5 linked regions of the Neurospora crassa OR74A genome follow. The main gene of each other region encodes a partner of the protein of the gene in region 2 in a complex. Links are inferred from orthologs where the notes say so. Each region holds a gene or a part of one and is shown on either strand. Other genes may lie near its edges. The genes, in order: NCU02828, NCU09297, NCU06216, NCU09063 and NCU07679.

Region 1 (6,720 bases), on a different chromosome or scaffold from region 2:
GGAACGGCATGATCAACGTCAGCCCGATTGGCCGTAATGCGAGCACGGCGGAGCGAAACGAGTTTGAAAAGTTTGATAAGGAGGCGGGCGTGCGGAAGGAGATGGTGGAGAAGTTGAGGGAGAGGTTTGGGCATTTGGGTTTGACGTATGTATTTCTTTCTGCTCTGCTCTGCTCTTTCTTTCGTTTTTTTTTTTCCTTTTGCTTGTCTCCCGTTTGGTAGTGTGGTGTGGTGTGGTGTGGTGTCTGCTGCGGTCGGCCTTTTTTTTTTTTTTTTTTTTTTTCTTTACCTCGCTTCGCTCGATCTCTTCCCCCCCCCCACATTCTCTCAGCGAGACAACAAAGCTAACAGAGAGACACGGAAAACAAACAGCTTCTCCATCGGCGGCCAAATCTCCTTCGACGTCTTCCCCACCGGCTGGGACAAGACCTACTGCCTGCAGCACCTCGAGAACGAGGCCAAGAAGGCCGGCGGTATCACGTACGACACCATCCACTTCTTTGGCGACAAGACCTTCAAGGGCGGTAACGACTACGAGATTTACGAGGATCCTAGGACTATTGGTCACTCGGTTACCGGACCGGAGGATACGGCGGCCGAGCTGAGGAAGCTTTTTAACCTTTAAGTTTTGGGTTTTGGGGGTGTCAGAGGTCTACCTACCTACCTGTGAAGGGGGTTGGGTGGGGATATGATGATGATGGAAGAACAAAGTAAAAGAAAAAAGCCTATATAGGGATTGAAGATAATTGGTAATGATGATTTGAAGACACAAAATGGAGAGTCCTCGGGAACGATATGATGCGTGACCAAAGGGTTGTTTACAGGCTCTTCCTTGCTCCTTTACTTCAGTTGACCCTTTCACTTAATCTTTTTCACGCTGGTACCACATACCTCCTCATCTCACCTCTCTGTATTGGAAACCAACACTGTCAGAGACCCGTTGGGTATACCATTCCGTAACCCGTATTTCATATTCTTGATATACCACAAAGTGCTAGACCATACCATATCATACCATACCTTATACCTTATACTGGTTCATACGCTCACCCACCCACCCAGACAGAGAAAAAAAGGAAGAAAGAAACCTGCCAATCCACCCACCCACCCACCCATCTCACTCACTCACTCACTCGCTCACTCACTAGTGTACTATTTCTTCTCCTCTCCGTTGTCGTTGCAAAACAACCGAACCGTCCCGCTAAACTGGGGTATCAACGTCACACTCTACAACTACATCCACTCCAAAAACAAACCCCCATGCTATCTATCTCCATCTAGCGCCCAACTATCACTCACTCACTCACTCACTCACCACCCTCCTCAACAACAGCATTCGCGTCCTTCTTTATGTAGAGCTCCGTCAACTCCTCGCTCTTCTCAATCACCAACCCTTTTTCGTTGGCAAGATGCAACAAGCAAATGAAGCAGTAACTGGTGGAGATGTCGTCCATGGCTTGTTTCGGGTAGACTTTTTGCAGCGAGTTCATGACTTCTGTGAACTTGAGCGTTGGTTTTTCTTGCTGTTCTTCTTCCCCTTCTTTGGGAGGTTCTACTGAGGAGCTCGGTGGTTGGGCGGATGGGGTCGTCGTTGGGGGTGGGGAGAGGAGGGAGTCTTCGGGGTTTGTTGTTGTTGTTGTTGTTGTTGTTGGTATCTGTTGTTCGTGTTGTTAGTAACTGGGAGAAATAAAAAGAGGATGAAACAAAAAGAAAAAAAAAAAAAGAAAAGAAAAACAGGGAGGAGAAAAGAAGAGAGGAAAAAAAAAAAAAAAAAAAAAAAAAAAAAAAACGTCCGCCATTCAACATGTCCATCCCCATCCCCCGCCAAAGTTCCTCCTTCAGCCTCCTGACATCCACCTTCTTGGCCCGTCTCGCATACTGCACATACTCGGGCCTGACTCTTCGTGATTGCGTGACCAGCATCGTGCCAAACGCCAAATCGGCCGGGTTCGTAACCGTCAGCCCGTTAAACGCGCCCGTCATGCCCACGTCCATCGTCAGTCCTGCTGTTCCTTCTTTCCCGGCAGCGCCATCCCCTTGCGTGCCACCGGGGCCAGGCGAGAAGTGATCCCGTGCGTCAGCAAAGACTTCCTCGTCCATGTCTTCGTCGTCATCGTCGTCTCCGCCGTTGGCAAACGGCAGACCGTCATCCTGGAAGAAGTTGGCGTCGTAGTCACCCTGCGGTAGATGGTCGTCTTGCGATGATGGGCCCTGGTTCAGCGGCGCTTTTTGTTGGGCCCAGAAGGCCTCGTCCATGGTGCCCTCGGGGACTTGGTCTGGGTTTTGGTTGTCGGCATTGGAACGGCCAAAGGCGCGCTGCTTGCGGCCGAGACGGGCCTTGGGCTTGAGGAAGAGGTTGAGCAGCTGCTTGGAGCTGAAGTGCTTGTCGTCCGGCAGCAGGTTGCGCGACTTGGACTTCCAGTCCTTCTTGGGCAGCGAAATGGCCGAGTTGGTGGTGGCTTGGGTGTGCAGGACGTCGTGAAGGGTGCGATCCACGGGGGTGAAGAAGTCGATCTCGAAAGCCTGTTTCTCCTTGCGCTGGCGTTGTGGTTCTCCCGTTTGGGGTTTGTTGACATCTTTGATCTTGCGAATGCGCCAGTGCTCGGCGCTGGTCCAGTTCTTTGATAGGGCTTGGTCGAAGTAGCTGAGAATGTCCTCGTGCAGCCGGTCCGTCTTTTGGGCGTTCGTCATGTTAACCATGCCGAAATCGCCCTTGTCTTGATCGATCATTTCGAGGTCGCCGTCTACTCCATCACCATCGTCACCACCTTCGCCCTCTCCTATGTCTAGACCGGCGTCAAAGACCCGCATCATTTGTGGCTCGATGGCGGCTTCGCGGGCCCAGGCTTCTCCACCCTCACCGAAGGCTACGTCAACGTCTCCTCCCAGGTCGAATGCGCCCAGCGCATCATCGTCATCGAAACCGAGCGGGTTCTCGTCATCAATAATGAAGCCGGATTTGTTGCCGAGGCCAGGGGTCTTGGCTCTATCTTGCTCCTGGCGCCAGTCCTCGGGCGCTCTGAGGAAGGGAATATCGAGGGATCCGGAGGGGTCTCCGAGGATAAAAGTCTTGAGCGATGGGCACACATCCATCTCGTCTAGTCGTCCAAGATCGGGAAAGAACCTAGCACCAAGACTGGCAATGTCGATCTCCACATCGTCCTCCTCCTCTTCTTCTTGTTGTTGGGTCCGGGTCTGGGTCTTTTCGGTTTGGCCGTCGATTTCCATCGCATCAATATCCATGGCGTCCGGGTCGGCATCTTGGTCGTTCTCCTCGGCGGCTTTTTGGTTGCGTGAGTCGAGAGTGTCGATGGCGTCGTCGCTGCTGTCAAAGACGATGCGACCCTGCGAATCGATCATCAGATGGTTCAAGAGGAGACCCTTAGCGCCTCCCTCATCGAAGTCTGCTGATGCCTTTTTGAAGAGCGGATCTACTGAGAATTCGAGTTCGAACTTTTTGAGCTGCAGGGAAGCGAAAGAGGGTGCCAGGGTGGCTTCGGAGGATCGTTGGGTCTGCAATTGTCAGTATCATGCAACCCGCCCGTAGCAGTGAGCCGAGCAACCAACCTTCTTTCTACGCTTCTTTAGTACGTTGCCATTCTCGTCCACCTCGTCCTCCTCCTCATCGTCATCGCCGCCGTCCTCGCCCTCGCCCCTATCCCTCTTCTTGCTGTCGCGACTGTCGGCCAAACCACTGAGCAGCTTTCCGGTTTCCGTCGCAACACTGTCGACTCTGCTGGTATAAATCTTGACACACCCGTCCAGCGTGCAACTGGCCTTTTGGAAATTGACACCGTCTCCTTCCTTGAGTAGCGACATATCATGGAAGTAGTCGATCAGCGCAAAGTTCCACGAGTTGGCGGCATTGATCTTGTTGTCGGTGGCCATCTTCATCCACTCCTCAAAGTTGGCCAGGATGGGGACGCGCTTCATGGGGGTGACGACGGCGCCGCCCACAACCGGCCTGTCATCGTCGTCGAGGATGGAGAAGTTCTCCTTGCCAGAGATGCGGCGACGCGGGGTGCGCGGTCCGTTGGAGGTCGGAGTGCCATTTTCGTCGATTACGCTGCGGGCGGGGGTTGCGACTGCGGTCGCGGCGAGTTTGAGCTGGTTGATCTGGGCCTCGTGGAGGGCTTTGCGTCCTCGCGATCGTTGTTCCTTTTCTTGGGCGTCGTCGTTTAGTGGGATTCTAGTCGGGACGAATATCTCTGGTCAGTTACAAGGGAGGAAAATGAAAGAGGGACGCGACAAGACGTTCAATTCGCAATTCGCAATTCAAAGAAAAGACGTACTTGAGGCCGGGGGATTTGAGCGGGGATGGCACCGCAGGGCCCTTGCTCATGCTCCGTCGCGGACCTGTGCTGAGGCGAGGCATCTTGGCGGTGTTGACGAAGCTATCCAAGATGTGAAGCTCCAGGCGGCCGCTGTCTAGTTTGGACTTTCAGTGGTGTTTGTTTACTTTGACCCGCCCGTAACCACGATGGGAGTGCCAATGCTGGATAGGTAGCGCAGACACGGGCTAGACGGATCCACGTCTCAGCGGGCGGGCTGGTGACGGGTGGCGGCACGTGCTGGGGCCTACTACGCAGTACTATGGTAGAGGTAACTAAGAGCGGGGTGAGGAAGTTGAAGGGAGGAAGTCTGGGGGGCTTGGCATCGAATGACTAAGCTACCTCTACAGTCAAGGTACTACGCTCAGGTACAGCGGTACATTACAGGGCATCGATACATCCATACACGTACAAGGGACATACTGTTACATGCGGCGGCCGTTGGCGATCACACAGAGCCCCCCCCCCTTCTGGTACTTACACTACATACACGTGTACCTTGTATGTGGGGTTCACTTGGGGAGTTGAAACTCCGATTGAAGTTCCTGAGTCCGAAGTTGTCACGCATGTGCACTCCCTACATAACTAGAGAAAGGAGACGTATATCTACCTCTACCTAGTGTACAAGTGGCAGGGCATATGGGCTACCTCCCCCGTCTTGACCTCTTTGTGATGCGATCAAGACTCATCTCTCTTGTCGCCACAAATCCACAGCCTCTTGAGTTAGTTCAGATGGAAGTTCCGTTCCTGTTGGTCACCTCACCCGCATCGATTGGAGCTCGCGTATGTATGCACTGTAGAAGTATAGTAGGCATCTGTAGTAGGTATGTATTCCTACTCTACAGTCAAGACAGACTCCAACCGAAACAGCGTCTCCATGTCCAACCGGGTTGCGCATGGGGCTGCAGACGTTAGAAGGTAGCATTACCTTTCCGTGATTTTCCTTTCCTTTTTATTTTTATTTTTTTCTTCTTTTCGGTTGCTGCAGGGAACTTGTTGAGATCAGGAACACGGTAACACAGCGATATGTCAGTCTCCTGCCCAACCAGGAAGGTCACCCTCTTTTAATATTCCCCGCCTTCCTTCTTTGCCCTTTGCCTCTACTCTAGATTACATACATCGATAGCTTCTATCTTCTCGTTCAACTTTCTCCCAATCACCTATTTCCTATAGTATCTACACTAATAGATACCTACCTTGCGCCCATCCGTCGTCTACCCATCTCCAATGCAATGAATCTATCGTCTTGTCTCAGAGAAGCGGCGCATGGATACCTCGACGCACCAGTCCTAATCCGACCTTTCTGGCCACCCGAAATCACCTTGGCAACTTTGCGACGATGATCTCATTCCGCCTACATAACACAGCAATCCCGCCCGCCCACGCGAGCCACGCCATCGTCCCGTCAATCGTATACACCATACTGGACATACTTGTAGCCTTATCTGTTTTTTTTTTCTTCTTCTTTTCTATTTCTGCTGCTGGCAAATTTCTCTCTTTTTTTTTTTTTTTTTAATTCCGGCCATCATCAACATACGTACCTTGCGATCACATTTGCGATTGCGACCCAACGATAACTGCCGTTCGATTGCCCCGCCGGTCCATCCATCCATCCATCATCCATCACCGTGGCGACACTTCCCTTGGGTCAACACACCACCACCAGCACATACAGCCAGTATTCCCCACGCGATGCCATGACCAAAGGTCCAGCATGTCGCTACATCGCCAGAAACGGAGCCCCTTCAGCTCCCGACCCTTTATCGTGTCGACTCTCCTCATAACCTGTCTAGCAACCTATGCGCTCGTCCTCAGACCCTTCGCGACATCACGGTTGTTGCGCCAACCCGAACATGATCAACAACAACCACATAATATTGCGCGAATCCTCGCAAGAGGTCACCACAAGCACGAACCGACCGCCCCCGTCGATTGCCGCGATGTCCACCTGGTCCAAGACCAATGCGCCTTCATATTGGCCAACTGCGAAGACGAGGATGCCGGCCTAATACACTACCTGAGCTTCTACTACTGCACGCTACCCAATGCGAAACCCGTCGCCTTCGCCGTCCTGACCGCATGGCTGGGCCTCCTATTTACCACGATCGGCATCGCTGCCAGTGACTTCTTCAGCATCAACCTCAGCACCATCTCGAGCGTCCTGGGTCTAAGCGAGAACCTGGCCGGCGTCACGTTCCTCGCCTTGGGCAATGGCTCCCCGGATGTCTTTAGCACCTTTGCCGCCATGAGTTCCAACAGTGGGAGCATGGCGGTGGGCGAGCTGATCGGTGCTGCTGGCTTTATCACTGCCGTGGTAGCCGGGTCCATGGCCTTGGTTCGCGAGTTCAAGGTCCAGAAACGAACCTTCGTCCGAGATATCGTTTACTTTA
Region 2 (4,866 bases):
TGGTCCTGCTCGTCGGCAAGGAAGCTTCCAAAGACAATGGATCTACCAAGGACGCCCAGTGGAGGTACTACACGCGAAAGAACGTCTTTGATGGTCTGTTCCAGCCGGTCAACATGTGGAAGAGAGGGATGAACAAGTCCAAGTGGTTGAGGCAGTCTCAGGTGTACCGAAAGAACAAGAAGTTCAGAGACAGAGTCAAGATCCATAAGCTGGAGCACTGCGGTTGGATCATTCAGACTTTCATCCTGATTGCTCTCCCACCAAGTGCAGGAGCAGTGGTGGCCTTGAAGACACCGCCGGTCGGATGGAGTTGTCGGTCTCTGAGCTTTGTGACGTATTCGGCCTCGCAATTTTTGTTGACTTTTGTCTACTTTGCTTACCTGAACATGTGGGAACGGGATCAAGCGAGACATGAAAACAACCAAGGCGAGGATCCAGAATCTGGCCAACAAGGGTCAAGGAACACATATCAAGCGGTGCACGAGAGAGAAGGCAGTGACGCGAGTGCCAACGGTAACGGCAGGTCCTCGGAGGACCTTCAACAGGTTCACACGGCACCTTTTCGCCCTCGGACCCCAAGCATGGACATGGACATGGACGACGAAGGCGTCTCGGGTCGTGATCGATACATGTACGGGTTAAGAGAAATCCCCACAACGACGAATCTACTACCCTCAACTCCTTCCCCAGGCCCTTCTCTCAGGCACATCCCCGATCGCGATCCTAGCTTCAGTCCAAGTCCCAACCAAAACCTCCTCTCCTCTCCTTATGATCCATGCCCCCCTCGACTTTCCATGTCCCACCTCAGATCTAATACTCCCACCCAAAGGCAGACAGTCCAAACCAAGTCCAAGCCCCGAAAGTCACTCCTCACTCTTTCCATTTACACCCTCTTCACCGTCTTTTTCTTTCTCTCTCTCTTCCTGTCAATCGGCACCACCCTCATGCAAATCATGGGCGTCTACCGCAACTGCTTCTGCTACATCACCGTGGGGTACTGGTTTGATACTTCAAACCCAAACGCCATGGTTAACGTTGCAAGCGACACGTGGTACCAGAGGCACTCAAGTCGTAATTGGATGGTGATGGGCGGGGTGGCGACGGCGTTCATGGCTGCTTGCGCGTATATCGGGTGGTGGTTCCAGGGAATGATAAGGAGGGAGCTGGCCGAAGTGGTGGAGGGGGAAGTTTGGCCTGGGTATGGGGGTGAGAATGTGAAGGAAAGTGGGAATTGAGAATGGTTCCAAGGTTCCACGGCGATGAAGACGGAGATGTGGGACGGGAGTCAAGAGAGGGAGAGACATGGAGGCTGGCCTAAGGGATGGATCTCAAGAGGGGGAGTGGGAGTGGGAGCATGACATAAAGTGAGAGAAAGTAATGTGTAATGATGGGATGCCGTAACCGAGAGTGATGGCGTTCAAGGGGGAGTTACAAGTAGGTTTGGGTTCAGCGTTTGTCAGTCTGGTGTTACTTCAGGTGCTAGATGGTTTCAACTGGGTGCATAACACGGAAGGATGGTATGGCGCATGCACATGGCGCGCTTGGTGCTAGAAACACAGATGACTGGTTGTATTACTATGGAGAGCATCGAATAGAGAAGGAACAAGAGAGAGAGGGCGTAGCAGAAACTTAATATCACCATATAGACCATGGATACAAGGCTGTTTCACTTCAGATTGTGTACGTGAATGGACTGACTGCAATTCCCTCCATCAAATCACGAGATTTCGTCCAAGACCTCATCTACAATCAGCCCTAACCTCACACCTGCAAAACTTACAAGTCGTACGACTACCTCTACGTTATCTAAAACTGCTCGCCATCCCCAGCCTCACGTCCGTACCCCAATCCCGGTGATGTCGGCATCTCCAGAACCGGCGATGTCTTCTTGCTATCCACCCCATGCATGAGCAGAAACTTTTCTAGGTACCTCGACTGGTCGAAATCATGACCCGCTTCGAATCATTGCTGCTAAGGCGTTCCGAACCCTACTATATCCCCAGAAGCTCCTTCCAATCCAACCGCTGCGTGATCCGGTCATCCCCGCTCCGGATCGTATCGGGAAGTCGTACATACCCCGGCGCACTTCACCATCCTGCACCATCCCGATGGCCCATCCCGATTCGAGGATGCCATGATTCCCACACACGCTACCCCAGATTTCCCCGTTCATCAGTCTGTTTAACCGCGTTGGGACTCCCGGTCATAGCGACCCGGCTATCCCAACACTGCAACGTCGTTTGACCGACGAGTATGGTAAAAACTAAAAATACTCCTGAATATTGGTGAAGAGGGTTGCGATTCCATTTGCCGAACTACCTGATGGAAAGGCTGAAAGAGAAACCGCTAATACAATTCTCATAAAGCAGATGCTTTACCTGCGCTAGGTGGGGGTCCTTCTCAAAGTTTGACATGGTCATGATACAACAACCCTAACGCCGTCCACCCAAGTCCCAATATCCGAACCATATTCGAATTTCCCAAGATCCCTTCCACACATCCAACCTCTTCCAACACCCATGTACACCACAAAAGACATAAAATTTGTAAACATTCATCCGCAATCTCCATTACCCATTCCACCTTTCCTCAAGCTCTCGCCTGGGTAGCTTGCGTAGCTCTCTGCGTCGCTTGCATCCCCTGTTGCCCAGAGGGAACCACCTTGAAACCCTCCGACACCACTTTAGCAATCTCCTCATTCTTGTGCTGCAATAGACCCAGCGCAAAGGCAACATCATTCCACTGCCTCTCCGTATCACACCTCTGCAACCTCGCCGCCAGCTTCTCCGCCAGCTGCTTAGCATGCCTATCCTTCTCCACGAAGCCGAGCAGAAACTTGACCACCCTCCTGAAACCCTCTTCCTCCAGACTGGGGTCGGACGAAAGCAAGCTGAACATGTCGACGAAGTGGTTGTAGACCGCATTGTCTTTGGTGGAGAGTTCGGTGAAGAACATCCTCGCCAAGTCAGCGATGCGCTTATCCCCGTCTTCGAGACATAGGGCCATTGACGCCAGTTGGCCCTTGACCTTGACCTGTCCGGCCAAGATGAGGAAGGTGAGCGTCATAAGACACGTGCGCTTGACCGAGGGGTCAGGGTCCGACAGGCGGCGGTAGAGGAAGTCGGTGTTTTCGTCGATGAGATGGTTGAAGCACACGGCCATGTCGCCAAGGGCAATGACGGCGTTGGAGCGCACGGTGGGGTCGACGGAGCGCTCCATAATGGTGATGAGAAGGGGGAGGTTGGCTTCGCAGTATTCGGAGCTGACGCACATGAGCTTGGCGAGACACAGGGTGGCGGCTTGCTGGAGTTCGCGGTTGCGGTAAGTGGTGTTGTTTGCGCAGATTTCCGACACCATGGGGCCGAACATGGCCAGGAGGGATTGCGGCCCATAGAGCAGTTCGCGCTCGCGAATATGAAAGATGGCTTCGGTGAAGTCGTCTTCGGTGGTGCCGCCAATGAGGTCGAGTTCGTCTTGTTCTTCTTCGTCCTTGGCGGCTTTGGGGCCGCCTGATTTGCGGCGATTGGTGGAAGCGGAGGCCGAAAGGGATGTACGCTTGCTTGTGGTTCCAGCTGCCTTTTCCTTCTCCTGTTTACGGCGCTTAAAGTCCAATTCACACAGTTCCAAATGAACGATCTGCTTGATGGCTACGTGGCCAACAATAAAGAGGAGCTGGGAAAGGGCGATGGCGTGTTCTCGGTGTTGCTTCTTGGCTTCAGCATCTTCTGGTTGGGTGGCGACTGGTGCTTGGGCGGATGTGGGCTCGTCCTCGTCCATGGCGTCCGGGTTGGGCTCTTCAGCTGGCGTGGGCTCTGCGCTCTCTGTTGGCGATGGCTTCTCCTCATGAGAAGCCGAACGCGACTTGGGCGGGCGAGCGAACACGCCCTTGGTCTTGCGGCGAATGATCTCGGAGCACAAAACGTCGGGGTGCTTGGCGATGGCATAGATGGCATTGATGGCTTGTTCGGCAACACCATACCACTCCTTGCTGTCAGTGGGCACCTCGGTGATGGCAGCAAGCTTGATGAGCAGGGCATGGTCGTTCGGTAGCCGGGAGAACTTGATACCGGAATCCTTGGACTGACGACCTGTGGGGTTGATGCGTCGAAGAGCAACGCATGTGTACTTGGCCAGTTGAAGATCTGCCCGACCGTGAGCGCCGAGACCGGTACGAAGCATGGTCTCCATCTCGCCCACGACAATCTCGGGATTGGCCGTGGCCAGCATACCCAGCACAATGATGGCGCCCCGACGCTGTGTCCTCGAAATCTCCCGCTTCTGCACGCCGTAAACCTGCCACAGCTTAGCAATGACCAAATCCGAGATCATGCCCGACTTCATCATGGTGCTAAGCAGCTGTTCCAGCGAAGTTAACTCAGCAGGAGTGGCACCGAACGTCAAACTAATCATGTTCCTAGCAATGTACGTCGCCGCGTCATTGGCATTGAAGTTGCCAGGCGCCTCGAAGAACAGTCTCTTGTAGCACTCGATCAGATGGGTCTGCACGCCCTTGCCTTCATCGCTATTACCCTTGGTCCAGATCAGCCTGAGCATGCGACGGATGCCGATCTTGTTCTGCTCGATGTTGTATGCGTCGCCGATCTCAAAGTAGTCCATGGCCTCGATGACCTCGCTCTTGTTTTTGGATCCGAGGAGCTGGCAGACGGTCTCGGTGGCCTCGTGGAGGACGTCGATAAACTTGAGCGCCTCGCTGTAGTAGCGCTTAGTCAGTGTGAGCTTCTCGATGGCTTCAGAGGTGGCTGCTTCTTCTTGGGCCCTGCGAATGGCTGCAATCTTTTCCTCCTCTGTCATCTCTGATGGCTGCTTTCTGGGAGATTCCATCATCTGGGTGGCATCGTCGAGGAG
Region 3 (4,758 bases), on a different chromosome or scaffold from region 2:
GAGGATCAATGAGCAAGAAGTGGAAGATGAGGAAGAGGAAGAGGACACAGTCGAGCAAGAGTTCATCGTCGAGCAGCTTCTACACATCGCTCTTACCCTGGACTATTCGGATGAAGTTGGCCGTCGCAAGATGTTCGCCCTTTTACGACAAACCCTCTCTATCCCGGAACTCCCCGATGAAGTCACCAAACTCACCGTCCAGGTGCTACGAGACCTTTGCGCCCCCGATGCTGCCGGCGAGAAGGAATTCTGCAGTATTGTACTTGAAGCCGTTGCTGACGTCCACGACACCATCGTCGACGATGTTCCTGACGAAGGCGACATTGACGACAACGAGTCCTTTCACTCAGCTAGATCCGAGGTCAGCGACGACGAAGATTCTCAATCTAAGAAAAAGAAGAACAAGGGTCCTGAACTGTCGGAGGAGGAGGCGGCTCAGAAAGCCATCAAGGAGATCATGATCAACATGAAGTGTCTCCACATTGTGCAGTGCATGCTCACCAATGTCGCCGGCAATCTCCAGAGAAACGATCATCTAGTTTCTATGCTCAACAACCTCGTCGTTCCCGCCGTGCGCAGCCACGAGGCCCCTGTTCGCGAGCGTGGTCTCGTCTGTCTCGGCCTTTGCTCGCTCCTCGACCGCTCGCTTGCCGAGGAGAACCTCACCCTGTTTATGCATTTCTTCGCAAAGGGCCACACTGCTCTCCAGATCACCGCCCTGCATATTCTTACCGATATTCTCAATGTGCACGGCGCGCAGCTGCTCTCGAATAACACCAATCTCCTCAAGGTTTACGTCAAGGCCCTGCGCGCTGGCGGAAGATCTCCCGAGGTCCAGGCGGCCGCTACTGTGGCCGTTTCCAAACTCCTGCTCGGCCGTGTTGTTAGTGACGTTGACGTATCCGCGGAGCTGCTCAAGACCCTTGTTATCGCGTACTTCGAGCCCGCCAGTGCAGAGAACCAGAGCGTTAGACAGGCACTCAATTACTTTTTGCCTGTGTTCTGCTACTCGCGGCCAGAGAATCAGGATCTGATGCGTCGGGTTGCGCTGGATGCCCTGCATACCTTGTACAATGTGCGCGAAGGCCTGGATGACGAAGAGGCCGATGTAGATGATCAGATGGTCAGCATGTCGACCATCGCTGCCTGCTTGGTCGACTGGACGGATCCCAGAAAGTGCTACAACCCCGATGAAGGGTTCAGCGCCGGCCTTGACCCCGAGAAGAAGACCGTTTCGGCAGATGTGCACCTCGACTTCGCCAAGGATATTCTCGAAAGGCTACAAGGAAATGGAGCCAGTACGTATTCATTGTTGCCTCTCCCACCAAATCGTGATACTGACACCCAGACACAGAAGAAGAAAAGCGCATCATGGCCGCCCTTCTCGCAAAGCTCTACATCCCATCCGGCTCCTCTTCCTCCAACCCCTCCTCGCCCATCAAGATCCGCGACGTCTACGCCCTCGTCACCAACGCTGTTGAGAACAACCTCCTCTCCGACGCCACCTCTCGCAACGCCCTCTACAAGGTCCATGTCTCCCTTGGCAAGATTGTCAACGCCCTTGATGCCGCCGCCGAGCAAGATGCCGCCAACAACGCCGCGGGCCGCCATGCCTCCATTGCCTCCGGCGCCACCACCCATAGAAGAAGCGCCAGCAGGGCAGGCAGCGTCGCTCCTAGCCGGGCGGGTAGCGTGGCGCCTCCGGCTAGCGAAGCCAGTGGCGGCGGCGGCGGCGGGGCTGTGTCCAGAGCCGGTTCCGTCGCACCATCTGCGTCTGGTGCTACTGCTGCGCCTGTTAACAGCAGGAAGAGAAAGGAAAGGGAGGTCAGCGTTGGCGTCTCCATCAAGGAGGAGGACGAGAACGAGGACGAGGGCGAGGATGTGGAAATGGGTGGTACGCAAGTGGGCGATAATGATAATGCTGGTGATCGGGAAACAACACCAAAACCAACTGCGACAGAAGCCCAGGAGCCGAGCACGGAACAGAGAAGGTTGTTGAGAGGCGTTTCTCTGAGGAGTAGGAGGCAGAGCTCGCAGAGTGTGGTTAGCGTACAACCGCAGCAGCAACAAGAGGAGGAGCAGGAAGAACAACAACAACAACAACAACCGACAGGAAGGAGAGGGAGTAGGAGGGCTAGTGCGATGAAAGCCAAGGCGCGGTTGAGTGCTGGACGGAGCAGCAGAGCAGGTACGGAGGATATTGCGGAGGAGATACTGGATGATAGTGATGGAGATACGGTGATGGAGAGGACGAAGATTGAGGAGGAGGACGAAGAAGAACAAGAAGAAAAAAAGCGCGAGGACGAGGAACAGGACGATGAGGTAGGAGGGGAAGAGGATGGGAAAGAAGAAGAAGAGGAAGAAGAGGAGGAGGACGGTGATGACGATGATGGAGAGAACGAAGGGAAAGATGATGACGAGCTTGTTGATGAGTTATTGTCGGATGAAGAGGACGACTTCGAATAGGGTTGCGTACGGATTGAAGACGGAGATTCTGGATTGTTGAACTACATATGAACTGACTTGATTGGGTTTGGATGGGACACTACGTAATATATGGAGGCTCTGTGTTTCTGGCTTTGGTTCATGTCGTTTGCTTGCTGTCGAGGCCTGAGCTTCTTGGGCTAAGACGTATTGCCTTGGTTTATTTTGTCCTTGAACATTGCAGGATACCATTGAATGAAATGTCAAAAGGCTTTCTTTGTTTGCTTCCATGCATTTCAACTTTAGCATCTCCTCATCCAAGTGATGCTGAGGAACGATTTCGAGAATTTATCTACTCGTTCTAATCTAACCTTTATATCTACTACAAGCAACCAACACACAATGATCCACACATCCTATCAAACCACCCGGCCCTTCCTTGGGCTCGTCCTCTTGGACAAGATTGTACCACCTCATATTTTACCTAAAATGACCCAAGCCAGAACAACAACCCACTCAGCCCAACATTAATTACCAAATGCTGCACCAAGCTCCAAGCCACGCAGTACAAGTACTTTGGGGAAAATACCGTCCACACGAACAAGTGCGTCCTGAGGATCGTACAAGCCGCCATAACCGCCGCGACACTAAACGCGGTAAACAGCGTCGTCACGGCAACATAGGTCTTGAACGGACTGATTTGCCCCCCTTCAAGCATCTGTTTCGCTTCCGCTTCTTCCTCCTTTTCGTCGCTCCCTCTTTTCCCATTGTTACCGCTACCCAACCTTTTCTGTCTCTGATCTCTCCGCCAAATCTCCCCCAAAAGCACCACCGTCCCAAAAGCCCACCACACCGGTCCCGCCCAGTTCCCCACGTACGTCAAGATGCCAACTAGGACAACGTTGAAATTGCTCACCCCGTTGTAGGCGTTAGATAGGTCCACGGAGGAAATCGCGTTGCTACCGCCCATAGCGAAAAAGGAGGCATACTGCAGTAGGAGTGAAGAAATTCCCAGTTCAACAGTCGACAGCCCTGTGCCGTCCGGGGCATCGATCTCGCTGGACAGAAACCAGTAAAGCAGGTTGAAGATGAGAAAGACGGGGATATTGGCCGTCCGGCTTTGTGTGAGGGCGAGGATGGTGTAAAGGTGTTGAAGAGTTGTGATTGCCTCGGCCGGCCCCTTTTTGCGGCGTGACCGTTTACGGTTCCCCCCGGCCCCCCTCATCTCCCAAAGGATAAACCCCATTGCCGCCATTGCCACCAGTCCTAGACCGACAAAGACCGCACGGGCGCGGGCAATCAAGCTCGCGCCCCTCGTGAAATCAAGCAAACTACTCTTCACGAATTCCACCACCAACTCGGGAGCGTCCTCGAGCGTGAAGGCTGCCTTGAAAGTGAACGCGGCCAAAACTAGCCCCGTCATGACAGGGTAGTTGATGGGTACCGGGATGCGGCCGTGAAAGGAGTAGACGAGCTGCCGGTGGGTCCAGAAGTAGGTGAGGCCGACGAGCAACCACAGAAAGTGGGGGTGGGGTTCGATAAAGAGTTTGACGATGTCCGGCGTGCCAGCGTGTTTTTGGCCGGTTTGGTTCCAGGCGCGAAGGAGGCGGAGGGAGGCGAGCACGGGGAAGGCGGTGAGGAGGAGGTGGGCGGGAAAGGTGGTGTTGGCGCTGGAGGGCGGTGAGGGTTGTTAGTTAAGGTTGGGTGTGAAATGATGAAGGAGAAAAAGAGAAAAGGGGAAGACGTACCGCTTGAATCCGCGGAGAGTGAGGTAGCCAAACCAGGTGCTCGTTGCTAGGTACCAAAAGTGCTGCTCTTCTTCGACATAGCTGCTGGCAAACATCATAATGCTGTAGGCTATGGAAATCACCAGTAAGGGGGTGAGAGAACGGGTCGGGGAAACGGTTTTGATTGCGGCGCTGAGGCTAAAGATTACGGCGAGGAGGGCGGTGATTTGGCCTAGAATGAGTCGGGACATGTCGTAGTTGCTCGCCATGCCGCTCATGAGCTCTTGAGCCTTGCGAAGCCACTGGAAGATGGTTAGCTGGATCGGAGGCGGATCAGAGTGTTGTATAGGTAAGTTGGGCATTACCGTGACAACAGGCAATGCCCACTGGGAGTCCATATCGTCACCAACTCTCGCAGACATGAGATTGTTTGAGGGACCTTGCCATTCACAGGCCAATTGTTCATAGTCGGACGTCGGGCTGGCACAGGATTCTGCGGGTAAAGCACCGTCGAAAGTTTTGGTACCCGATGCAGCCGAGATGACGGTTTGTATCTGGCGCGCATTTTCATGCAGCAGATAGGCCTGGTCGGCTTCTGTGATCCTAT
Region 4 (6,775 bases), about 460 kb from region 2:
TCGTCGACGTCCATGGCATCAGGGTCGGCAAGTTGTTGAGGTGCTGCTGCGTCGCCGCTGGTGCCGCGCTCGAGATCTTCAATGTCTTGGAGGGCGAGCTTGGAGAGCTTGTCTTCCCAGTAGCGCAGACGCTTCTGGTTCTCAGACAGGATCTTTTGGTTTTCCTCGAGCTTATTGCGCATCTCAATTTCCACCGCCCTTGTCTCGTTGAGCTCGGCCGTCTTCTCATCCAGCTCCTTCTTCATAGCTGCCAGTTCTTTCTTCTTCTCCTTGAGTGCCTCCTGGGCCTCTTCAACACGGGTCGTGAGGCTCTCGGCAGTATCGCCCTGGTTCTGAATCTCCTCTTCCAGAGCCTCGGTCTCCTGAATGGCATTCTGCAGCTCTTTAGACGCCTTGTTAAAGTCCTTCTCTAGCTTGTGCTTCTGTTTCTCCGCTTTCGCCATCTTCACCTCGGCGGCAGAAGTTTCCTCGTTTTGCGTGGCGATCTCTGCCTTTAACGAGTCCACAGCGGCTTTTTGAGAGCGAAGCTTTTCACCACCTACCTTCATGATCTTATCTTGAAGAGCCTTAATTTCATCCTCGACGGAGGACATCTCCTCGCGCAGCTTCTCGACCTCGCCCTCAAGCTTGGCAATTTCCTTTTCAAGGGCGGCGACGCGGTTGTCATCCGTCTTGGAAGGCTGTTGCTCCTTGCTGAGCTCCTTGATACGGCGCTGGGCATCGGCAAGGTTGCGCTCCGAGCTCTCAACTTCGAGGTTGATCTTCTGCATCTTGGTCTCAAGCTGGGGAATCATGGACTGGATCTGGCGCAGACGGGACTCGAGTTCTCGTTGGCGGTCTTGGAACTCGTTGAAGGCCTGCTCCAAGGTATCACGGTCCGCCTCAAGCTTGTCAACTTGCTCCTTGGTGGTGTCAGCCACAAGCTTGGAGGACATCAGACCCCGCTTGACTGTAGTGCCACCACCGGTCATGGTACCTGACTTATCGATGAGCTCGCCGGCAAGGGTCACTACTCGCCATCTCTTAGCGCCATAGGCAATGCGGTTTGCCTGAGCGAGATCCTTGGCGACCAATGTGTCCTGAAGAGCATGGTAGAAGGCAGGTCGGAACTTGTCGTCTTTGGGCTTGACAAGGTCAAAGAGACGAGGGGCGTTTTCGGGAGTCTGAATAGGAGACATGTCGCGGACTCGCAACTTGTCCAAGCACATAAAATTACCACGTCCGAGGTTGGTTTTTCGGAGATATTCAATACATTGCTGACCGGCCTCAACAGTGTCGGTGACAAAGTTGTCCAGAGCACCACAGGCTGTAGAGATGGCAATATCGTACTTCTGGTCAATAGCACCGAGATTTCCAAGTCGTCCATGAAACCCATCGATACGACCCGACTCCTTCATGCGCATAAGGGCAGTCAAGACATTGCCTCGGTTTTGTGTGGCGGACAAGCTCGACCGCGCCTCGTCAGCCTTTTGGCGGGCATTCGAAAGCTGTTGCCGGTACTTGGGTTCCTCCTCCGCAAGCTTGGAAAGTTCAGCCTCGATCTTCTTGCCCTCCTTGATCAGGTTCGCTCTCTCAGCTTTGCACTGCTCCATCTCCTCCGCCTTCGCCGCTTGCCTTTCCTGGATGGCCACAATTTTCGTCTCCATCTCCTCAAGGGCCACAGTTCCGGCATTGGCCTTTTCCCTGAGAATGGCCAGCTCACTCTCCGCAACGGCAATGGCGGACTGTTTCTGATTGATCTTGTCCTTCCAAGGCTCGAGAGACTTTTGCTTTGCCGCGATCTGATCCGAGTACTTTTGCGTCTTGCCCTTGAGGCTCTCACGTATCGTCGCAAGCTCGGCCTCCTCTTCCTTGACCTTCTTCTCCAGGAAAACAATGTCCTTTTGACGACGCTCAATCTCCTTGGTGCAGTTCTGAATGGTCTCCTCCGCTTCAACAGCCGTCTTCTCGGCGTTAGCGATCGTCTTCTCAAGCTTCTTACGCTTGTCCGTCAAGAACTTCCGCTTCTCCTCGAATTTGACGCGTTCCTGCTCGAACTTGTTCATCTCCTTGACCAGCTGCTGTGTCTGCTTCTCCCAAGAGTCGTATTCCTTGCTACCCTTGGAGTAGGCCTTTTCCAACTGCTTGATGAGCTGTTCGCTGCCGTGGTGCTTCTCAAGCTCAGCGTCAAGTTGTGCCTGCATCTGACCGATAGCCTCCTCTGTGACAGCAATATTGTCGTCGCATTCGCTGATGTATAGCTGGTAGAGAGCCGACTGTTTCAGCGCCAGTTCGTTTTCATCGCGAACATACGCCAGCGCCTTGTTCTTCTTGTCCTCGAGACTGTTCCTTTCCTTTTCCACGTGCTGGACACGACCACTCTTCTCCATGCAGATCTCGTTGAGGGTTTCGACTTCGGTGGCCGACTCTTCAATTGGTGTCTTGTATTTGGAAGTGCCAATAATGTCTTCTAGGTACTCCAACAGACCATCTTCGTGCTCGTTGCCGGCTTTGGGCTTCATCTGGGCAATCGATTCGACTTCGCCCTGGAGAATGAGAAAACGCTTGTGATCCAGATCGACACCACGGTCGCGGAGTAGCGTGGTCACGGTGGTAAAATTGGATGATTTGCCGTTGATGTAGTACTGGCTCGAGTTGTTCTTGAATGCTTTGCGCGAGATGACGAGTGTTGAGTCGGGGATAACCTCGTGGCCACCGCCGGGCTATCAATGTCAGCACAATGACTCCCCTTCAAAACAATGTTTGACTTACCAAGTCCATGACTTCCTGGAAATGCACTTCCACCTCACAGTAGTCGAGATTCGGAAACTGCGCCGAATTGTGAATCAAGGCCGAGATCTTGCCTTGTCGCATCTTGCTGGCACGGAAACCAAAGACGAACAGCAACGAGTCGATGACGTTGGATTTGCCAGAACCGTTGGGACCCACGACCGAAGAGAACGAAGCATGGAAGGGGCCGACCTCCTGTCTACCGGCGTAACTCTTGAAGTTGATGAGCACAAGATTGGTGATGACAATGCGTGGCTTCGGGCCGGTATCCTCGACGACGGGAAGAGCCATGGTCCGTGACTTGAGCACAATATCCATGGGCTTTTCCAGAATAGTATCCATAGCCCTGACGGGCTTCTGGGCCGCCACGACGGTTTCATCTGCTGTTGATGTTGGCTGTGTGTTGACAAGGGTCTCTGATGCCGCGGTCGCTGGAGGTGGTAGGTTGATGAGGGTCTGGGTGATGTCCTGTAGAGGAGCAGGTTGGCGATCGACGCGTTGAGTTGACGGAGAGCCTGGCGTTGGTGTCCCTTGACGGCTGGCTTGTTGCTGTTGCAGCTCGAGTTGTTGCTGCATGATCTTTGCTGGCGATCTGCTGAGGCGCCGCACAAGAGTTCTACGCTTCCGCGGGGGTGACTGAATTTCTTGCGTATCCCGTGCTTCTGGCTCCGCGATCACGGCGGTTGTAGCGGGCGAAACGGCAGACGCGACAGTCACATTGGGGTCGATACCCTCCTCGATCGGCTCATCCTTTGGCTTGACGGCAGGCGCTGGGGCTTCGGGTTCGGCTTGGGGATCGTTATTCGCTTCGACACTCGGTTCGACACTGGGCTCTTTGCTGGGTTTGGGCGCGGCATTCTTCTTAGGTCGTCCGCGCCTTTTCGGCGCAGCTTTTGGTGCCGGTGCCGGTGCAGTTGATGATGATGCTGCTGCTGGTGTTCCTGCCCTAGGAGCGGGCGTGGCAGTGGATCTTCTGGTGGTTCGCTGAGCAGTCTTGCGGGCTGCCGAAGCTGGCGCGGGTGTATAATCGTCCTCCTCGTCGTCATCTTGGGCGCCTCTCGATGTGGTGTTTGCGATATCGTCGTCTGATGAGGATTCTTCGATGATGGCGGCGCGCCTGGTTGCGGCGGCCCGACGCGATGGGCGCGTCGACATGACTGATGTCTGTCGGTGGTTTCGGCCTGCAAATTCTCGACTCGATGATGAAAACAACAGAACAGAATGGAACAGAAAGCGCTGCAAGATGCGGGTATCAGACAACCAAGGAGTGAAAGTTTATGTAATAACAAGTAAAGATGAAAAATGGTATTCACATTTCGCAGGGCAGTTGTTGCGACAGACACGGAATGGGACGCCCACGCAGAAACTCTTTGAGTGCTGTCGCAGCTTCTTCCTTGCCCCGCCGCGGTTAGATTGTTGACATTCAGGGCAGTTTTTGGACGGACGCTTCTTGCAATACCGTGACTGCGGTGGTAAACAATCAGCCACAGCAGCCACGGGCAGCCAATGCAATTCGTGCACTGCAGCGGGCGACCCCTCCGCTGCCTGGAACGCTCGCACCGTGTTGCGCTATCACTGCATGCGTGGCAGGCTGGTGGAGTCCCGCTCTGTGTAACAAACATTCCATGCGCTTACGGCTTTCTTACCTTATCGATAAGCCAAGACAGGCCGTTACCTAGCGCAGGTACAGATCCGGGGAAGGCTCCATTCCAGGTGCAGGGGATGGACCTGACGGACCCGATGGCCGTTGCATACATGTATCCCAGGCCATGACGGCACTCATCCATCCCTTCGATTTTCCCTTTTCCCTTTCCATTCAATTCATTCAACAGCTAAGGACACTTGGGCACTTCAACTGTGCAATCCAACTTCAACATCACGATGCTCGACTATACAGAATACAACAACGTGTTCCCCTCTCCGGGATTCATAAACCCCTACGATCACAAGGGAGCCAGTGCCATTGAGACTTTCCGCAAATCATTGGGCGGCGTCCTGTTTGTGGATCGCGTCCTAAGTCGGTTAGGCATCGCCCAAGGTTAGTGTAGTGTAAACACCACACTACCACCTAATCACCCTAACAACCCATGCCCTGTCGTTATAGCGCGCTTCATCGCTAATCACCACTGTAACTACCTCTAGGCACTGCATATCCGCCCAGAGGTGAGAACGGCTTGCGCTCCCTCCACCAACAAATCTGCCAGAGCAGCGCCTCGTCGATCCAAAAGATATCCGTTCTTTACTATCTCCTCCTCGACCATGATGACGTCCATCCAGGTCGTTCGCATTGGGCGGACAGCTTTGCTGAGGAGACGGGACTGCCGAAAAAGTACCAGATCCTTATGAGGGGCCTGTGGCACATGGATCGCATGGAGTTCAAGGTGCGGACGTCCGTTTGGTTCTGGAACCTAAGTTGCACACTGGACATCAAGACGCTAACAAACGCTGCTAAACAGTACGCAATCGAAAACCTAACCCACCCATCCCTCCCCACCGAATTCGCCGACGAAATCACCATCGCCCTTGTCCGCCATCCGCTCGTCAACAAGCGCAGCTCCACCAGTCAGAGCGATTACACGCTAGCTCTCGCCTACTTCCACGCCGCCCAGCCCGTCTTTACTTCATCCGAGGCTCTCGAGCTGCTCTTTGGCGCTCTTGCTCGTACTAACGTCACCGAAGCACTCGATTTCTCGCGTCGCTACCCGGAGTGGACCCGCCAGCAGCTGTTTGAAAGGTTAGTAGCTTCCATTCTAGAGCAGCCGGACAAGTTAGGAGCGAGGGGCAAGGAACTCGTTAGCGCGGCGTTGACGGGCGAGGAGGAAAGCTGGTTTCAGGAGTACTTGAGGCACGGGGAAGGAAGGAAGAGTAAAGGCGCAAATGCGCTTTTGAGGATGAGAGGGGTTGTGACGGGGAGGTTGAGCAGCACTGCCGCTCTGGAGAACCTTGCTGGTTATTCGTGAGGCTAAAGAGTTGTGGGTATACCTTCATAGCTTGGCAGTTTTCTGTCGATAGGTTGATCTCTGGCAACGGGCATAGCGACGGCGTTTGGATACTTTTGGGTCTTGCCATGGGGAGATGGTCACCTGAGTCAACATGTTTATGACTGTTTATCGTCAAACCGACGAGAATGCTCTTTTGCTTTTTCGATTTGCAGCAACGAAGGTCGAGTCTCGCTGACTGGCAGTAATGACTGGACGTTCCTGATTGGTTTCAATCAACTGAAAGAGGCATCCAAAAAAAAAAAAAAAAAAAAAAAAAAAAAAAAAAAAAAAAAACCGCTCAAAGACAATTCTGACCACCAAAAAAGGCCTGAACAGAACTTCTTTAGCTCTTTGTTGCTTGTGTAGTCCGATCGCAACTATTACTTTGAAATCTAGGTACAGAAATCACTAATAGGAAATCATGGTACAATCTGTTTGAGAATGTACATTGAGGACAAGCGCGAGATCTCAAGTACCAAAGTCACTTCTACATGTAAGCATCTCGATTTCTACCCACTGTACCTAATGCGCTGTAAGTTCATCATAACTGAATTCTACTTTTACGCTCTATAATTGACACCAGTCACCCGATTACAAAAAAGACGAATTTGATACCAACCTTAACTTGAATACTAGAATCATTCACCTCATTGCTTCGTTAAGTGCATCTACTTCTAAAGGTATTGAGTAGAAAAACTGAGGAGTGGCTGAGGTGAGTTTTGGCTCTTTTTGTCGGTAAAAGAATCGTGGGGCGTTTTTTTGTACCAGCAACTTTCTCTCCGCCCGGGCAGTTGGGTAGCAGTGGAAGGCACCCATTCACTCTTTCCCTGCCACTCTAATCTCCAGGCGGTAACCGGCGAAACTCCCGCCGTGCCACGTCAATGTCTTCCATCTTTCTTCCCTCCAACGCAAAACACCGTGACATTCCTACCATTACTACTACCAATCCACCACTTTGAACAAGTCCCGCCTAAACGCCATAATGTCGACCCACCTATGCGCGGTTTGCAACCGCTTTGTACCCC
Region 5 (4,840 bases), on a different chromosome or scaffold from region 2:
TGAAGATCTGGCGGGATACGGTCACTGCGCTCAACATGGAGGCGGACCTACCTCGGGAGTTGAGGCTGCACTTGGGAGTGAGTAACAGGCTCGGCTTATTTCGCGTCGACCCGTCCCGATTGCGGGAGGTGTATCGAAATGCACCCAAAAAGGAGGAGGCCGGCTATCAACCCGTTACCGGCTGGCAGGATGCGGTACGTTTTCGTCCTTTTCCTACTCCGTGACTCGAGGACATCAGGCAAATCCAGACCGTATAACTGACCACAACGGAGGATTTGGTAATAGTATCCCGTGCATATGCTCAACCTTTCAAGCGTTCAAGATTTAGACGCCAAAATCAACAAGGATGACAGCCTCAAATCACTCGACCCATTGAGGTTTCGAGCCAACATTATAGGTAAGTCAGTCCGGACGCTACCCATTCGGACATTAGTCGACCAAAACCCCCCCAAAGCTCTTGGGCCATTTTGCTGCCCCTCAGGGGTCATTAGGCACATGGCTAGTAGAGGAATTAGGTGTTCATTATGGATGGTCCGAATCATGCTGTCTGGGCAAGCTTTCTAGAAGCAAGATTCCATTTCGGCGCAATATCCCCATTGAAGCAACCCTGCATTATCCTCTGAAAATAAGGCCCAATCTCGTAACGCTAACAACACACTCTTTCACCCACGTACACACACTAACCTAACCTCATCACACATCACAGTTGACGGTGTCGAAGCCTATGAAGAAGAAACCTGGAAGACAATCCGCTTCAATCCTGAACCTTCCAATAAAAGACAAGACAAGACCCATTTCCACGTATCTGGCCGATGCGTACGGTAAGTGTGTGAAGGACTTCCCATATCTAGTAGAAATGTTATATATACTAAAGGATTGCCCCCAACTAACCCCAACAGCTGCAAAATGCCCAACGTAGATCAAGACACGGGTTTCCGTCACCCTGCCGAGCCGGACCGAGCCCTCCGAAAGTACAGAGACGTAGATCCGGGGATTAAGGGTGTCGGTAGTCTCGGCATGCAGCTGACCCCTTTATACCGTGACCCTACTACCGATGTCGAAGGAGTTAATCTCAATAACATGGTGATGGAAAGCTGGGTCGAAGTTGGTATGAGTGTCGAGGTGCTGAGCAGGGGGCCTCATCGGTATGTGAGGATGTATGAGGAGGACAGACCGGATATCTGAACCGGAAAATGATTACAGCACTGGGTCTAGGCGGTTAAGCAACGTAGACCAACGGGTATGGGGGAAATACCGTCGCTATCCAGATGGAGTGCACCAGTGGGTAGACTTGGACTGTAAGAATAAAGGAATAGGATCACTCCCGAACAATAAAAATCAGCGAGGTTAGGTCAAGGCTAGTACATAAACGTCGCTTCCATGTGTCAGCTCAATAACCGCACGCCAGAATGTCCCGAGTTGAAGACACCAAATTTGTTCGTTGATTCGAGCTCCCAATTGTCGATTCTCCATATTCGTTTCCCACAATTACACATGAAGCGTAAGAGCTACAAATTCATTCATAACTCAACCAAGCCAGATGACATCACGCCCAAAGTTCATTGACAAACGACCATCCTGCTTCCTTTTCCTCCGCCCTTCGGTATCCCAATCCCAGCCTTTGATCATACAAGTATATCTGCCTAAAAGGTGAACATGTCACTTCAAATCCGCCGGCGTGAGCGCCTGCACCATGCTCGTTCCCTCGCTGAATCTCGTCCGGAAGATGCGGTTGGCGTTCTGGAACATGCCGTCCTTGAGACTGACGACGATGAACTGCGAGCCCTTGAACCGGGTCTTGATCAGACGCCCAATGTTCTGCGTGTGCGACAGGTCGAGCGCCGCGTCGACTTCGTCGAGAATGTACATGGGCGCGGGCTTGAACTGGAGGAGAGCCATGATGAGGGAGAGGGCAATTAGGGATCTGGACGACGACAAAGTTAGTAGGCTTGATGGGAGATTTTTGGATGAAAGGACGGGCTGAGGTGAGTTGAATTGGGGGAGGCGGTAGAAAGAAAAAGAAGAAGAAAAAAAGATTTTGAAAAACAAAAATTTACCTTTGACCACCACTCAACTCGGTAAGGCTCTGCTTCCACACTTTACCAAGCTGCACCTTAACTTCCAAGCCCTCGCTGATGGTCTTGCCTTCGGGAGGATCCAACTTGGCGAAACTGCCCGGCAACAGCTCGGCAAAGATCTGTCCAAAGTCGGCATTGACCTTCTCCCACGTCTCCTGCAGCGCCTTCTTCTTGTAGTCGTCCAGACTAAGAATGGTTTCCTCGATCTTGCGCTTGTCGCGGATGACGGTGCGCATCATGTGCTTGAGCGACACCTCCTTCTTCTCCACGCTGTCGATCATGTTCATCACCTTTGGGTTGATCTTTTTGCGCAGGCCCTGGCTACGCTCCGTCAGGTTCCGCAGCGTGGACTTGCACTCGGCAATGTTCTGGCCCTTGAAGTCGTAGAGCGTTCCGGGCCGGCCAAACTGGTCCTTGGTCTCGGCGATCCAGTCGTGCTCGCGCTCCATGTGTGAGGCTGTCTGCGCGGCTTGCTGCTGCTCCTTGTGGAACTTCTCGATCTGGTGACCGAGCTTCTGCATTTCAAGCCCCTCCTCGGCGATTCGAGCATTCTTGGATCTGGTAGCATCTTCCAAAGCCCGGAGCTCGTCGTCATACACATGCAGTTTGGTCCGTTCGTCTTCCAGCTGTGCTAGGACGGCGTCGTGGGTCTCTTGAAGGACTGTTCCTTGCTTCACTATGTCGTCGATCTCCTCCTGCTGGGCTTTGAGAGCAACGTCGATATCTTGAACCTGCTCCCGCGCAGCTGCGAGATCCGCAGCAACCTGCTCGGAGTCCAGTTGCGCCTCCTGAAGCTCTTTTTGCAACGCCTTGTTTGTAACAGACATCTTGTCCAGGGACGCACGTAGCTTGTCGACTGAAGCTTGCAGCTCCACAAGCTTAGCGTCTTTATTATTGTCAAAGTCCTTCATGTCCTTTTCGATTCTTTTGGCTTCGGCGGTGGCTTCTGCCTGTCGCTGCTTGGCCTCCATGATCGACTGCTTGAGTTGGACTATTGTTTCCTTCATATTTGCAATCTCTTGGATGATCGATGATGATGAGTTGCCGCCAATTTGCTCCTCCGCTAGCTTGATCTCATGGGCTTTGAGGTCAAGTTCTTGCTTGATTCTCTTTGCTTGGTCAAGTTTCGTTTTTTCCCGGTAAATTTGGCCGCGTAGCTCATTGAGGGCGGTCTCTGCTTCCTTCAGCTGCCGATTGATTTCATTGAGCTTCTGCAAAGTAACCAAAACGCCGCTCGAGTTGGGGGCACTTCCACCCGATAGTGTACCAGATGGATCGTACGAATCACCCTCCACTGTGATGCTCCTCATGCGGACATTTGGATCGAACGTCACTCTCTTGGCTGTGTCTGCATCAGCGCAAATGAGCGTATTTCCAAAGACATAGTCCATTGCCGCTGACACTTCATCGTCGTACCCAACTAGGGACAAAGCCAGGTGCACTTTTCCTGGAGCGATTCGTTGCGCATTGGCAATCGTTTGTGCAGAAGCCTTGAAAGCAGAGATCTTGTTCAAGGGAATGATGGTAACCCTCTTTCGCAATCTACCGCCTTGCAGTAGTTGTGTGCCAGTGACTTCGGTGTCAACAACCACGTTGTAAAGACGGCCTCCAGCGCAGATCTCCAGCGCTGTTCCAGCTTCCATATACTCTTTGGGTAATGAAAAGAGTTGCGCGACTAGCCCTTTCACTTTTGATCGATCAAAGTTTGGGACTGGATCGGCGTAGTTGAAGTCGATATTTGCCACCTTGCGTTTAAGCGCATCGGCTTCTTGCCTGAGATTGCGGATAGTCTGCTGGAGCGAGCTTTCCTGCTTATACATTTCTTCCTCCGTCCCGGGTTGGAACCCAAGCCTTCCAAGCTCCTTCTCAAGCCTCTGAGCCTGGGCTTTCAGGCCATCGAGATCCTTCAGCAAGCCGGCGTTTTGCTCTTTGGCCTTCCTGGCCCGGGGTTCTTCCCCTTTGATTCGCTTCTCCAGATGGGCGATTTTGATCTTTGCCTGCTCTTGTTCAGTTGCCGCAGCCGTGGCCCTGTTTCTCGCGTCTTGTAGTTGTCCTTGGTAACCGTTCTCCTGTCCCTCCTTGGACGCAACACCAGTTTGCAGGGTTTGTAGCAGCTCTTCCTTGGTGTCTGCTTCTTGCCTCTGCTTTTCAAGCGTCTCCTTGGCGGCATCGTATTTCGCCTTGATCTTCTCGTACGTCTTCGTCTTCTCCTTCAGCGCCGCTTCCAGGTCCGCAACGTTCTTCTCTCCAGCTTTCCTCCGTTCCTGCTCCTCCTTCATACTGCTCTTCTTCAAATCCACAACAGTAGCAAGCCTTACCAGCTCGTTGGCGTGCTTCTTCACTGCTTCTTCCAGGGCTTGAGCCTTGCCACCTTTTCGTAATTCCTTGTCGCGCTGTGCCTTAACCCGTTGTAAGTCCTCCTCCAGATGGGATATCTCATTTTTCAGCCGGATAGCAGATTCCTCAAGTTCTTTCTGGCGCTGCTTCTTCGCCTCAAGATCCGATGCTGACTGTTGTAGCTTCTCCTGACACCTTACGTAATCGTGCGCCACCACGAGCCTTGTCAATCGCTCCAGGTCGTTTTGTGTTTGCTGAAAGTCGAGGAATGCGCGCTTTTCGGTTCGTAGCTTCTCCAGTTTCGGTTCGATCTCATCCCGCAAGAGTTCTTTGATCTCCTGTAACTTCATCTCCTTCTTGGCCATCGTCTTGAGTGCTTTGTCCCTCCTGTCCTCGAACATCCTTGTGCCAGCTGCCTCCTCGAT

Evidence for each region.
Region 1: the proteins of NCU09297 (region 2) and NCU02828 are in contact, whole or in part, in a cryo-EM structure (PDB 6YVU), measured with the Saccharomyces cerevisiae proteins. The link is inferred for Neurospora crassa OR74A from reciprocal best matches to the Saccharomyces cerevisiae genes YCS4 and BRN1. Residues at the interface, in NP_013374.1 of Saccharomyces cerevisiae: Glu365, Gln368, Asp369, Ser370, Arg375, Arg405, Ser406, Gln408, Asp409, Arg410, Trp589, Ile641, Ser646, Arg742, Asn786, Tyr789, Pro790, Glu793, Lys805, Asp807, Arg815, Val840, Val841, Lys856, Tyr860, Lys863, Cys864, Ile917, Arg957, Thr958; in NP_009455.3 of Saccharomyces cerevisiae: Thr166, Leu167, Phe170, Thr172, Ile173, Lys174, Ile184, Asp185, Pro186, Phe188, Ala191, Leu192, Phe195, Lys201, Leu203, Leu204, Leu205, Asn206, Asn209, Ile210, Asp211, Asn212, Thr213, Ala214, Arg215, Val216, Ile217, Phe218, Asp219.
Region 3: NCU09297 (region 2) and NCU06216 share a complex: the UniProt entries of both Saccharomyces cerevisiae proteins name them as parts of the condensin complex. The link is inferred for Neurospora crassa OR74A from reciprocal best matches to the Saccharomyces cerevisiae genes YCS4 and YCG1.
Region 4: the proteins of NCU09297 (region 2) and NCU09063 are in contact, whole or in part, in a cryo-EM structure (PDB 6YVU), measured with the Saccharomyces cerevisiae proteins. The link is inferred for Neurospora crassa OR74A from reciprocal best matches to the Saccharomyces cerevisiae genes YCS4 and SMC4. Residues at the interface, in NP_013374.1 of Saccharomyces cerevisiae: Glu901, Val1006, Cys1007, Val1012, Glu1014, Ala1044, Gly1045, Gln1046, Gly1088, Ile1090, Asp1091, Gln1126, Glu1129, Lys1130; in NP_013187.1 of Saccharomyces cerevisiae: Gln1283, Asn1290, Val1296, Asp1297, Ser1298, Leu1299, Asp1300, Ser1303, Met1311, Lys1314, Ser1316, Trp1317, Arg1360.
Region 5: the proteins of NCU09297 (region 2) and NCU07679 are in contact, whole or in part, in a cryo-EM structure (PDB 6YVV), measured with the Saccharomyces cerevisiae proteins. The link is inferred for Neurospora crassa OR74A from reciprocal best matches to the Saccharomyces cerevisiae genes YCS4 and SMC2. Residues at the interface, in NP_013374.1 of Saccharomyces cerevisiae: Val33, Ile34, Gln37, Asn95, Thr99, Leu104, Gln107; in NP_116687.1 of Saccharomyces cerevisiae: Ser53, Ala59, Ser60, Leu62, Gly111, Gln124, Asn139.

The regions. Positions count from the first base shown.
Region 1 is NC_026501.1:8,975,140-8,981,859, forward strand, and holds NCU02828 (condensin complex component cnd2), read right to left. Parts: upstream 4,375-6,720; coding exon 4,292-4,374; intron 4,189-4,291; coding exon 3,567-4,188; intron 3,513-3,566; coding exon 1,851-3,512; intron 1,655-1,850; coding exon 1,307-1,654; downstream 1-1,306. Other genes in the region: sec53 (phosphomannomutase), read left to right, coding at 1-145, 372-624; NCU02826 (sodium/calcium exchanger protein), read left to right, coding at 6,045-6,720. UniProt on the Saccharomyces cerevisiae protein: Regulatory subunit of the condensin complex, a complex required for conversion of interphase chromatin into mitotic-like condense chromosomes.
Region 2 is NC_026507.1:35,980-40,845, reverse strand, and holds the end of NCU09297 (condensin complex component cnd1), read right to left. Parts: coding exon 2,590-4,866; 3' UTR 2,275-2,589; downstream 1-2,274. Other genes in the region: NCU09296 (hypothetical protein), read left to right, coding at 1-1,235. UniProt on the Saccharomyces cerevisiae protein: Regulatory subunit of the condensin complex, a complex required for conversion of interphase chromatin into mitotic-like condense chromosomes.
Region 3 is NC_026503.1:1,930,817-1,935,574, reverse strand, and holds the end of NCU06216 (nuclear condensin complex subunit 3), read left to right. Parts: coding exon 1-1,298; intron 1,299-1,354; coding exon 1,355-2,466; 3' UTR 2,467-2,745; downstream 2,746-4,758. Other genes in the region: NCU06215 (transferase), read right to left, coding at 2,909-4,094, 4,173-4,453, 4,517-4,746. UniProt on the Saccharomyces cerevisiae protein: Regulatory subunit of the condensin complex, a complex required for conversion of interphase chromatin into mitotic-like condense chromosomes.
Region 4 is NC_026507.1:494,008-500,782, reverse strand, and holds the start of NCU09063 (nuclear condensin complex subunit Smc4), read right to left. Parts: upstream 4,226-6,775; 5' UTR 3,925-4,225; coding exon 2,752-3,924; intron 2,703-2,751; coding exon 1-2,702. Other genes in the region: NCU09062 (hypothetical protein), read left to right, coding at 4,651-4,807, 4,912-5,150, 5,226-5,729. UniProt on the Saccharomyces cerevisiae protein: Central component of the condensin complex, a complex required for conversion of interphase chromatin into mitotic-like condense chromosomes.
Region 5 is NC_026504.1:2,265,582-2,270,421, reverse strand, and holds the end of NCU07679 (nuclear condensin complex subunit Smc2), read right to left. Parts: coding exon 2,058-4,840; intron 1,925-2,057; coding exon 1,660-1,924; 3' UTR 1,322-1,659; downstream 1-1,321. Other genes in the region: NCU07678 (hypothetical protein), read left to right, coding at 1-194, 286-397, 707-821, 900-1,185. UniProt on the Saccharomyces cerevisiae protein: Central component of the condensin complex, a complex required for conversion of interphase chromatin into mitotic-like condense chromosomes.